Linked DNA regions of Arabidopsis thaliana. The protein of the gene in region 2 interacts with the protein of the main gene of each other region in a biochemical or structural test. Each region holds a gene or a part of one and is shown on either strand. Other genes may lie near its edges. The genes, in order: TPR7 and mSFC1.

The links.
Region 1: the proteins of mSFC1 (region 2) and TPR7 form a complex in vitro, tested with the Arabidopsis thaliana proteins (one study listed by BioGRID).

Annotation. Positions count from the first base shown.
Region 1 is NC_003076.8:7,271,366-7,277,358, reverse strand, and holds TPR7 (Tetratricopeptide repeat (TPR)-like superfamily protein), read right to left. Parts: upstream 4,289-5,993; 5' UTR 3,965-4,288; coding exon 3,869-3,964; intron 3,757-3,868; coding exon 3,526-3,756; intron 3,390-3,525; coding exon 3,333-3,389; intron 3,219-3,332; coding exon 3,090-3,218; intron 2,904-3,089; coding exon 2,826-2,903; intron 2,705-2,825; coding exon 2,634-2,704; intron 2,512-2,633; coding exon 2,462-2,511; intron 2,322-2,461; coding exon 2,174-2,321; intron 2,017-2,173; coding exon 1,503-2,016; intron 1,413-1,502; coding exon 1,269-1,412; intron 1,188-1,268; coding exon 1,041-1,187; 3' UTR 780-1,040; downstream 1-779. UniProt on the Arabidopsis thaliana protein: Plays a role in protein import into the endoplasmic reticulum (ER). May function as chaperone docking protein during post-translational protein translocation into the ER. Chaperone receptor mediating Hsp70-dependent protein targeting to chloroplasts.
Region 2 is NC_003076.8:142,379-146,913, forward strand, and holds mSFC1 (Mitochondrial substrate carrier family protein), read right to left. Parts: upstream 2,486-4,535; 5' UTR 2,184-2,485; coding exon 1,794-2,183; intron 1,402-1,793; coding exon 862-1,401; 3' UTR 677-861; downstream 1-676. Other genes in the region: AT5G01350 (UvrABC system C protein), read right to left, coding at 3,487-3,504, 3,592-3,650, 3,739-3,800, 4,454-4,533. UniProt on the Arabidopsis thaliana protein: May transport cytoplasmic succinate, derived from fatty acid oxidation, into the mitochondrial matrix in exchange of fumarate during lipid mobilization in seed germination.

The DNA.
Region 1 (5,993 bases), 7.1 Mb from region 2:
TCTAGGGTTATGGGAGAAAACAAAACCCTAGATTCATGATTCGCCGAAGATAATGGGGGGGGGGAGAGAAAAAGGAAGAAGAAGGAAGACAATGACAAAGACTCTTTAATTTTCTTTTGGTCTCTTTTGTCTCTGCGCGTGGTCTCTATTGACTCTCTCTCCCTCCCTCCCTCTCACGACGTTCGATTTCTTCTATTTTTTTAATTAAAGACATTTTAACGAAGAATTGATTTAGCTGGGCCCCAGATTAAGACACGTGTTTCCTTCTCTTGTACTTCATCCTTCTAAGTTTTTTCTTTATTTTTTACTTTTGAAGAATGTGTATTCAGTCGTATATTAAAATAATTAAATTATCTAAATTTTGGGTGCACAAAAAAAAATATAATTTAAAATTTAATGAAGTTTTTTTATTTTTTTAATATCTATGAATTTAATAAAGTTTAAGATGATTTTATATACTTATTTCAAAATTTCTCCTCGCAAAATTTGCAAACGTTGGATTGCGAAAAAAAAATTTTTTACTCGAACTTTTCTCTTTAGAACATCTCCAACTCATCTTTATTTTTGTCTTTAAACTTTATTTTTGCCTCTATTTTACTCTAACTCATCTTTATTCTTACCTCTATTATAGAGATCTTTATTTTTTTTCTCTATATATAAAAATAGAAAATAAAAATCTCTATTTTTCCTTCTATATTTATAAAGAAAAATAGAGACAACCATTAGAAATGGTCTTTTCTATTTGCTAAAAGAATCTCCCAACGCAAATAACCAATTTTCTTGTAGAGGCGCTCTACCAGAAGCATAATTATGTTTATAAAATAACGAATATAAGGAAATATTCGTATTTTCTCTAATTTAAAATTCACTACAGAAGAAAGTGTAAAGAAATTTAGACACAAGTGGACTAACAAAAAGCTGAGAGTTAGAGGAAAGAAAAAGAAGATAAAACGATGTTACAGTTTTACAAACTAAACGAACCCACCGAAGACTGGTTTTATCTTCACGAAGGATTAAGCCTTAAGATACCGTTGTTTCCTCTAGTTTCCAATATAGCCGAGACGGTGAAGGACCATTGCTAAAACGAGCATTAATATTGCAAAGATCAATCCGCCTTTTCCGAACAACCACTTCTTTGCTTTCTTCGCTTTCTCCATCCCGGTTTGAGCCCGATCCGCCCATCGCATCTGCAACAACGTGTTTACAATTGAGACAACTATACAATCAACTTTGAATGTTCTTTTGGTTTTACTAAACCGAATTCGTACCATTTTCTCCAAGGCGTCGGGAGAAAGAGAAGCCATGGCTTGCTGAGCTTTTGCAGCGTCTTCTTGAGAAAGCTTCATTCCAAATTGTTCGCTCATGCTAGCCATCATCTCAGGGTTCATGTTCTTTATCATAGACGTGAACATCTACCAATATACAGAGAAACTACTATATGAACATCAACAATCACATTATGTTGACTAAATTGGTAAAACATAAACCGAAAATGATCAAACCTGTCGCATCGCTGGATCTTTCATTTGGTTTCTCATCTGTTCCTGTAAGTCAGCAGGCGGAGCAGAAGGGATGCTTGGTTCGAAACCGCTTCTTGGAGCCACAAAGGAATTTCCCGAAGAACTCCCACTCGCTCCTAAACTTTCCCGTGGTTCAGATGCTTCTGCATTGCCGTATGATGTTGAAGCTGGAGCGTTTGCTTTCAAAGACGATGCCATGTTAAACATCCTCTCACGCTCTTCTGGTGACATCTTACCCATCATATCAGATGCAAGTTTAAGCATGTCAGGTGTGGGTGTAAAACCGTTTTCGGTAGATGGCGCAGTCGGGGCGAAAGGGTTATCTCCTTTAAACGAAGAGGCTGTTTGAACCATTTTTTGAATCTCTTCAGGTGACATTTTGCCTATCATACTTGACGCAGTTTTGAACATGTCCGGTGACATGTCTCCAGCTTTGCCTCCGCTTAGAGCAGCAAGTGTATCGGGATCAGTTTTTGAAATGAAATTCTGGAAAGTTCTGCAGGCCATAGAAAGAATAAAAACAATTAGAAAATCATACTAATCGTGCCAAATGTAGCAGAAAAAGGATGCTTTAGATTATATTTGTCTTCAAGATTAGGAGACAAAAAGATGAAACAACACATCAAACACTAATGTTTGGAAAGGTGTCGAACCTGATTGCTTCTGGATTATCTCTGAGAGCTTGCAATCCATCAACATCAGTCTTTACGCCCTGAGCATGACCATTAGCCTCTTTTGACGGTTTTTTATTCTCTCCGGAAGTAACATTATTTTCTTCAGTTATGTCTTCAATCACCACACCTAATAACCAAACAACATAACATTTTTCAGTTCGTTTCCATATTCATGGACGAAGCATATCATTGATGTAGTAAAGAAACGTCTGGTCTGACATAATACACTGAATTCTTTCGAATAAATCATAAGGAATAATATTATACCTCTTGATGCCTTGCCAGGTCCCTCGACAGCCAATCTTTCCTTAACATCTCTGCATCAGAAAAGATAATACTTCAAGTCAAAAGTTATTTTTTCAATGTTAATATCAAAACCTCTGAGATAAGCAGAACTGAAAAGTATGACATTACCAGTAATGAATATAAAAATCCATACCTTAACACATCGGCAATTGTCTCATCTTCTGGGGAAACTTCATGGGCCTTGCTTAGATCAGAGACGGCATCCTTATAGTTTAAGAGAGTGAATGAGCATTGAGCAAACATATAGTCAGGACATATCTACAGTACAAACATATATATCGACAAGGAATCTCAAGAAAGTTCCATAAGCAACAGAAGAACTCACTTCAAACAAGCCCAAATCTCTGTAAGCTTGACCCCTTCTGTATAGGGCTTTGACATTCCTTGCATCATATCCCAAAACCTGAAATAATGTAAGAATGTAAATTTATCAGAAGAATGTCGAAACAGTTTTGAATAGATCATAAAACGCTGTATGACATCATGTGTTACATCTACAAAAAAGAAGCCAAAAGATTGCCATCTCTCTTTTTCCTAAAAATGTTTTCATCTATGAGTTTTCAGAAAATTAAGAGCATAAAGAATATACCTCAGAACCTTCCTTTATGCACTCTTCATGCTGATTCGTCTTCAAATAACACGACATTAGATTGAGAGAACAAGCCAACAAAATTGCTCCACCTTTAGAAGATGGAATCTCTTTCAGATTGTTCTTCGCCTGAGATATGGTCCAAGAGCATTGTAAACAAGTAGAAAAGAATCGCATATCAGGTTACAAATAAAACTCTTCTTGTCAAGTAGCATGACAAATGAGATACGTCTGCAGACTTACACGCAAGTATTTCTCTGCGGCATCGCTGAAATTTCCTCGGCTATGAAGCTCGTTTCCCTGCCAAACGTAGTAGAAAATGAGATTAACATCAAATTACACAAAGGTCCACTTGCTGAAGCCATTCTTGTTCCTTACTTTATAATCAGGAAAGCAAAATTCAATAGAAAACTTCTCTCAGGAAGTCAATTGTTACCTGTTTTTTAAGCATCTGAGCTGCATTGATCTGATAAGTAAATTGAGCATCAGCATGAGCACGCATAGCTGCAATATCTTCAGGGGAAGCTTTAGCCATCTTCTCGCTAATCTCAGCCATATCTTCAGGCCGAGTATGCTTAAGCTGTTCCGCAGCTTGTTTCAAATCTTCAGGCCTCATGTTCTTCATACTCTCTGTTGCCATATTCATCAAATCTGGATTTGACATCATCTGTATAATAAACAATGGTATAAATTCATCATACAAAGCCATAATCAAATCAAATCAAACAAATTCTCCTCAGAATCGATCGAATAATTCGAATCAGGAAAAATAACGAAACCTGTTGTTGGATCCTAGCGAAATCAGCAGGAGTCATACGACTCATCTGATCTTGAGCGAGCCGAATCATCTCAGGATCCATTAACCCGTTAAACATCGTGTTTTTTTTTCTCGAAGCTTCGATGTGGTTCTCTGTAATCAGATCGGAAACACAGAAAATCGAAATTCGCCAGAGAAGGATAAGCTCGGAATCTGGATCGAGATTGAGTTTGTGAGAATCGGAAAATCGAAGGAGAATTGTTTTGCCGACCCGAAAGTAGTTTCCAATAATATAGAATCGAATTGGAAAATTTATCGCTCAACCTCCTCAATTCACCGACCGGAATATGCCTGGATGATGGAGAATGACTGTTTTACCCTTGATCTACGATGATGCTGTGACGTGCCATAATAAATTAATTTACGTAATTGTATTGATTAACGTAACTATATGATTACGTGCAAATTGTCATGTCCTTGTCCATGTTGGAAGACTAATCTCGTGTTTTTTTTCTTCTTAAACTGAAACGAATCTCTTGTTAAACTCTTTTTTATTTCGTTTTAGAAAGAGTCGTCCAATTTAACTGTTACACGTGTTAAAGTGTCAATAAAATTCAATTTAAATTTGTTTGAGGGTACAAATAATTTTTTGATATTTTAAAATTCTTTAGGGTCTGGATATCGATATCATATGTTTGCCCAGCTACATCTCCATGATATAAGCTCCGAATGGTGATTGCGTTTTGCGGTGCGGGAGAAGTACGGTGCGGTTCAAATAGTAACGAAAATATATAGATACATATGAATATGTAGAGATTTTAATACTGTTACAGTACTGTTGCGGTGCGGTTTTAAGTGCGGTTTTGATTACCATTCAGAGCCATAATATATTTGTTGGAATCCAAAAATGTTTAGTATTCAGTTTCATAGACTCAATCTCTAAAGTAATCCATTTATTAAACTTTAAAATATGCATGTCTTCTGCAGAATTTTTAGTATCTTAAATATCAAAATGATCTTAACAAAAAAATACATATGTACAACTATTCGGGCAAAGAATTTTATTTCAATACGACAATCTTTTCAGTTGTTGAACGAGTTTTAGTGTTTTGACCATACAAAGAAAAAAGACGAGTTTTAGTGACATATAAGTTGTGTTTGGTAATACTTTTTTCAATATTGTTTCGATATAGTTTCATCGACGAGTACATCTATCAATTAATTTTTCTGAAATGTTTATTTCTCTCCACCGCAGCATAAATGTTTCAATGTTTGAAAGAATGGAAACGGTGGTATAGTCACATTAGAAGAGGACCACTTTGACTAAAGCTAGCTACAACTCTCATCTATCTCTCGTCTCCCAATTTTTCAATATTAGCAGAGATTATGATTCACTAAATGATAGCAGTCTGAGAGAAGTGAATGTTGATATGATTTATGATTATCAATTAACTAATCACTAAGTACTATTGCAGCGAGAACGAGGAAATTCTAGCAAACCTCTTCTTCTTGGTCACAATGAAACCAATGGATTAATAAAGTTATATCATATAACAAACAAGAAGGAAACAATATCTTCAACTTATAATTAATAAAGCAATATTGCTAAAGCATTCTGATACATGTTGTGCAACATCTCTCGAAGCTAGATTACAACATGCATGTGCTTCTAAATAGATTACAACAAAGCAACTTTTTAACATGTTTACACGAACCAAAATATGCATACACATATATAGCCTTGATTTTATAATTCACATAGCCCTTGTTATCCTTTAGAATACATCGTAGACACATTCTTACGTATTCTACTATTATATGGCAAAGCAATCTAGGATAATGAGTGAGTTGTATTTTTTGAATGTACCCTCTATTGTACAATGAAAACGAATGTAAATATTCAGTTTTGTTTTTGTTGCCCACATTTTATTGCCGTAAATTGCAAACTATTTTTTTAAAATTGATATGCTAGGGAAAAAATGAGTTAAAGAGCATGATGGAGGAAACAGAAAGAAGAAGGCTTTGAATTTTGATGGTTGTCGGGACGTGGAGAGGATCTCACGTGGCAGTTTCACTCTGATTGGGTCCTAAACCGCCGGCCCACGTGGCATGCCACTTGTCACTGGTACTTCTCTTTCTCTCTTTCA
Region 2 (4,535 bases):
ATAAAAGATTGAATAACCAATCAAAAAATCCTCACGCAGCCATTACATGATTTGGGCAACTGGGAAAAAGAGAGAGATCGATGTTCGATTCACTCGGCAAAAAGTTGCCTTCTTTTTTAAAACAAGAAGCTATCAAAATTTGATTTTTTTTATAAAAAAAATAATAATAATTTCCCATCAGAGTAACTATGACAATATAGCATCATATGGAACTGATAAACAGATCCATAGCTTTCGATAAATATCCTCATTAGGAACAAATTGCACAAAACTTTTTAACCGAGCAAACAAAAAAATATTTTCAAAGAATTAACTAGAGGAAGATAGATGACAACAGCCAAAAGAAGCGTCTATATAAAGGAGAGGTTGCGATGATGATGATGGTAAAGATGGCGGCGGCTAACTAGGGTTTTGATGAAAGCCCTAAAGTTGCGTTGGCGTTAATAGTATATATAAGGGAATTGGCGAAGGCGGTTGAAAACTGTGGGCCTATATGTTCCAAATGTGGCCCATAACAAAATGACCCCAGCCCAAACTAATATGGATGTGACAGTTTTAAGAGTGACAAACTGAATTTGCCTGACACTGTTGCCAATTTTGGGCCTTATAGTATATAAATGATAAATCAGTGGTATTCACTTTTTACGTTTTTAAGCGTAATTTTGCTATGCTTTGTAGTAAAACTTATTTAGTCAGAGTCTTACAGACAACAACAAAATGGAACTCCCAAAATTTGATTATAGAGTAACATCGTTATAAAATGTGCGATTAGGTTTATTTTTCTTGATCAAATCAAAATCCTAACAAGAATTTTCAGAAATACACCAACTAGAAACACTGAATTTCAAAAAGTGTCTCTGCCTATAAAGGAGCATTCCGAAGATATCTCATCTCATAAAGACCAGTGACTTGATCAGCAACAGCCCACATAATGGCTTGTCCTGGAGGAATCCTCATTAGCCTCGGCAATAACCCTCTCCATAAGGCCACTAATCCTTCCTCTGCATAAATCGTTCTAATGGCATGAACCATCCCTTTATATCTAATCCCACCTTCACTGTCTCTGCTCTGAGCCATCAACCTCGTTTTCACCACATCAAACGGTCCTGTGCAGAACGGACCTGCGGTTCCAGCTAAAAACCCTGAGATCATTGACTGCCATGGCTGCAAGATTTTACCGTCACCTTCGTGTTTGTTCCACAAGAGTATGTCAAACGCGTTTTTCGCTGTGAACATTACAGCTTGGTTGGTTCCGTTTCGCATAACCGTCGGTGCTGCACCTGACCATAAACCAAGTATGCTTTCTTCTCTCACGATGGTTCTAGCACAATGTATTGGTCCTTTGTACTTGAAAAGCTCAGGACTCAATCCTTTCTGCTGCTGAAGTCTAATTTTCACCACCTGGAGATAAAACAGAGAACTCAACAGTGTTTTACTTGAGTAAATGTAAGCAAAATCTGTGTCAGACTCAAAATGCTTATGATTATGATGAACACGATTCTCCGAATCAAGAGTTGCCATGAACAATAGGGACCAAAGAGATTCGTTGGCCAAAAGCATCAAAACAGATCTCAACAAATCATTTTTTATCTCTTTGACTAAAATATACTAAATAATTGATGAACAGAGATGATTTTCTGGTGCAAGAATAATCTAACAATTTCAATTACACCAAATCTTTGACTCAACTAACACTCTGATGATTAAACTATAGTTTTAAATCGATTCATAATCTAATAAAATATTAGAGAAGCCATGTGATTTCATTGTCTCGAAAAGGCAACAAGACTTACCTCAAAGGGTGTAACAATGGCGAGAGCTTCAAGAACACCGGCACCGAATCCGGAAAGAAAACGGCCACGATTGCTGACCTTTCCGGTCTCGGAATCCTTAAAGGCGGTTTGAAACATGGCGTTGGATCCCATCCGAAGCGTGTACTTAAGCGTGAGATGAGTAGCGAACGGTGTTAAGCCTTTCCAGAGAGCACGAACTCCTTCGGTGCGAACCACCTTCGAACCACAGTGAGCGATTCCTTTGTAAGCGCCGACGCGATCTAGCTGGAGACGCGTTTTGATTACGTCGATTGGTTGGAGACAACAAGCCTCGACCACTCCGCCTAGTGAGCCTGAGACTGCTTTCATGTACGGCGGAATCTGCTTCTTCGATTCCGTTCTCGTCGCCATATCTGATTCCTCGGCCGGTGAGCGAATCAGAAATCGAGAAGGAAGCAGAGAGAAAGAGAGAGAGAGATATTCGTCCTTCTTCTCGTTACAGACTCTCTGCTATTTATTCTTTTGTTATTTTCCAAAAATGTTTGCTTTAGAAAGAAAGAAAAAGATAACAAAAAGAAATTGAGATTGTTTGTTGTATCCTTAAAGTGTGAGAAAGAAAGTGACCTTTTTTTTTTTCTTTTAGAGATGTCATTGGCACAATATTCTCATAATAGTGGGTTTTATTTAAAATAAATATGCATATTCAATCAAAAAATGAAAATACTTTTACATCTTCAAACCACGATAGTAGTGATCAAACACCTTTCAAGTTTCAACAACCAAGGTAAGTTTGGCGTAAATCGATTTCATCACCATAAAAATGGTAGATGTGATTTGGGCCTCTTATTAAAAGGGACCATCTTTGATTTGATGTCTTATTCAACGGTCGTAAATGCCTAACCAAATGACTATGCTTGGTCATTGTTTTTAGTTTCGCAAGGCCAATAGCCATTGATTATTACCCTTTTCATTGCCTTTTTCGCTTTGTCCTCTTCTTTGGTTTAGAATGTTGTTGTTACGCGTTTCTTTTTTCTTTTTCTAGGGACAATTTTGACGACACTCGGGTTCCAGATTTTATTATTCAATTTTTGTTTTTCTAGAGCTGATATGAATATATGCTTATGTTCAAATGAGACACTATTGTGTTAGCTCTGGGAGACAGTAGTATATAACAATGGAAGCATGAGTGGAGAGTTTAGGAAAGAGTGATTAAGCTTTGGGAAAAAGAAATGCATTGTCCTAAATAAATAAGAGCTGTGAAAAACATATTTGACTTTAATCGAATCCTATTATATCCTATATTAGTATATTGGGCCGATTGGACAGTAGATGATTGGACTATTGGGCCGATACAGAAACGATTATAGACATTAATTCTATACACAAGAGACATCCACAGCACCACAAGTCTGTTTCAAAACGGGCCCGTAATTTACATATTTAAAATCAAAGCCACAGCCCAAAACGAAAAGAATCAATAAATGTGCTCTACAAATAAGTAGGAAGCAAAAGACGATAGAAATTCCTTCATACAGTGGTTAGTCACTCCGGAAGAGTTGGGTTTAAGAGAAGAGAAACAGCACCAAAAGATCACTGGTTGTTTAATCCACAAGCTTATTACTTTTTAACATTCTTTATACAAAGATAAACAGACCTCCCTACTTGAGCTGACCCATGTGATTTACTGAGGTTTTAAGATTCCACACTAGAATGATCAGGGTTTCTTCGTGGACTGCAAAAAAAAAGCAAAGTTGTTTAGTCTTAAATGTCAATATATGTTTTGTAGAATCAATGAAAGATTGTATGCATAAAAACTCACGTCAATGTTCTTGGCAAATTCTTCCATTTGCTGAGCGACTTTCTCCCTGTTCTCTGCAGCTGGAAAACAAACATCCACTTTTTAATAAGATTGTGGGTTACAACAAGCAGACCAATCATTATTGAGCTAAAGTATGAAGATGCTAACCCATTTTAGAGAGGTTTTCTATTCTCTTTGAAGTCCTCACAGCAAATCTCTGGAAAGCATGGCTGCCATAACAGAATATAAACAATTAGACATCCATTAGCGAATGTCCAGGGAGTCACTAAGACTACTAAAGAATCTTATCAATCAGACAAATAAAAAGGAATCAAACAAAAACAAAACAATAAACAGCCTCAGTCTCTTAGCTTCACGTTTAACGTCATGTCTTTAATCAGGACAAGCCTACGAAAATCATCACCGGCAGTAATCCACACCCCAAAAAACAACATAATGAAAAACCGACAATCCTAAACAAAGTAAAACCTGAGTTATCTAAAAACAAATTTGAATAAAACTCAGGACAAAATGTTCACTTAAAAATCAGCGAATAGCTTTGCGCAAAGCCAAAAAGAAATGTACAAATTGCAAACACCAAAAAATGTAGAACCTAAACTATAACAATTCCAAAACTAAAGCCAAACTTTTTTTTTATCACAAAGAAAAAAAAAAAGTGTCTCAAACTTCCTACGCTGCAGCGTATGGTAAATTACGTAGCAAACCAGCTGAAGTTGAGATTAATCTTGCTTCAATATTGAACGAGCCGATAAGGAACATATTTCCAATCCAATCAGCCAGAGAAAGAAGCTTACTTTTTGATATCTACCCAATTCATCATTAAAAAGTACAAACCCTAAATCGTTATAAGGAATGAAAGTACCTGTTTGCCAAACCATTAACTATGAACTCGTTCGCAACGTATGAGATCACTCTCGCAATAAAGTTTCCTCCTCCCGCCATTC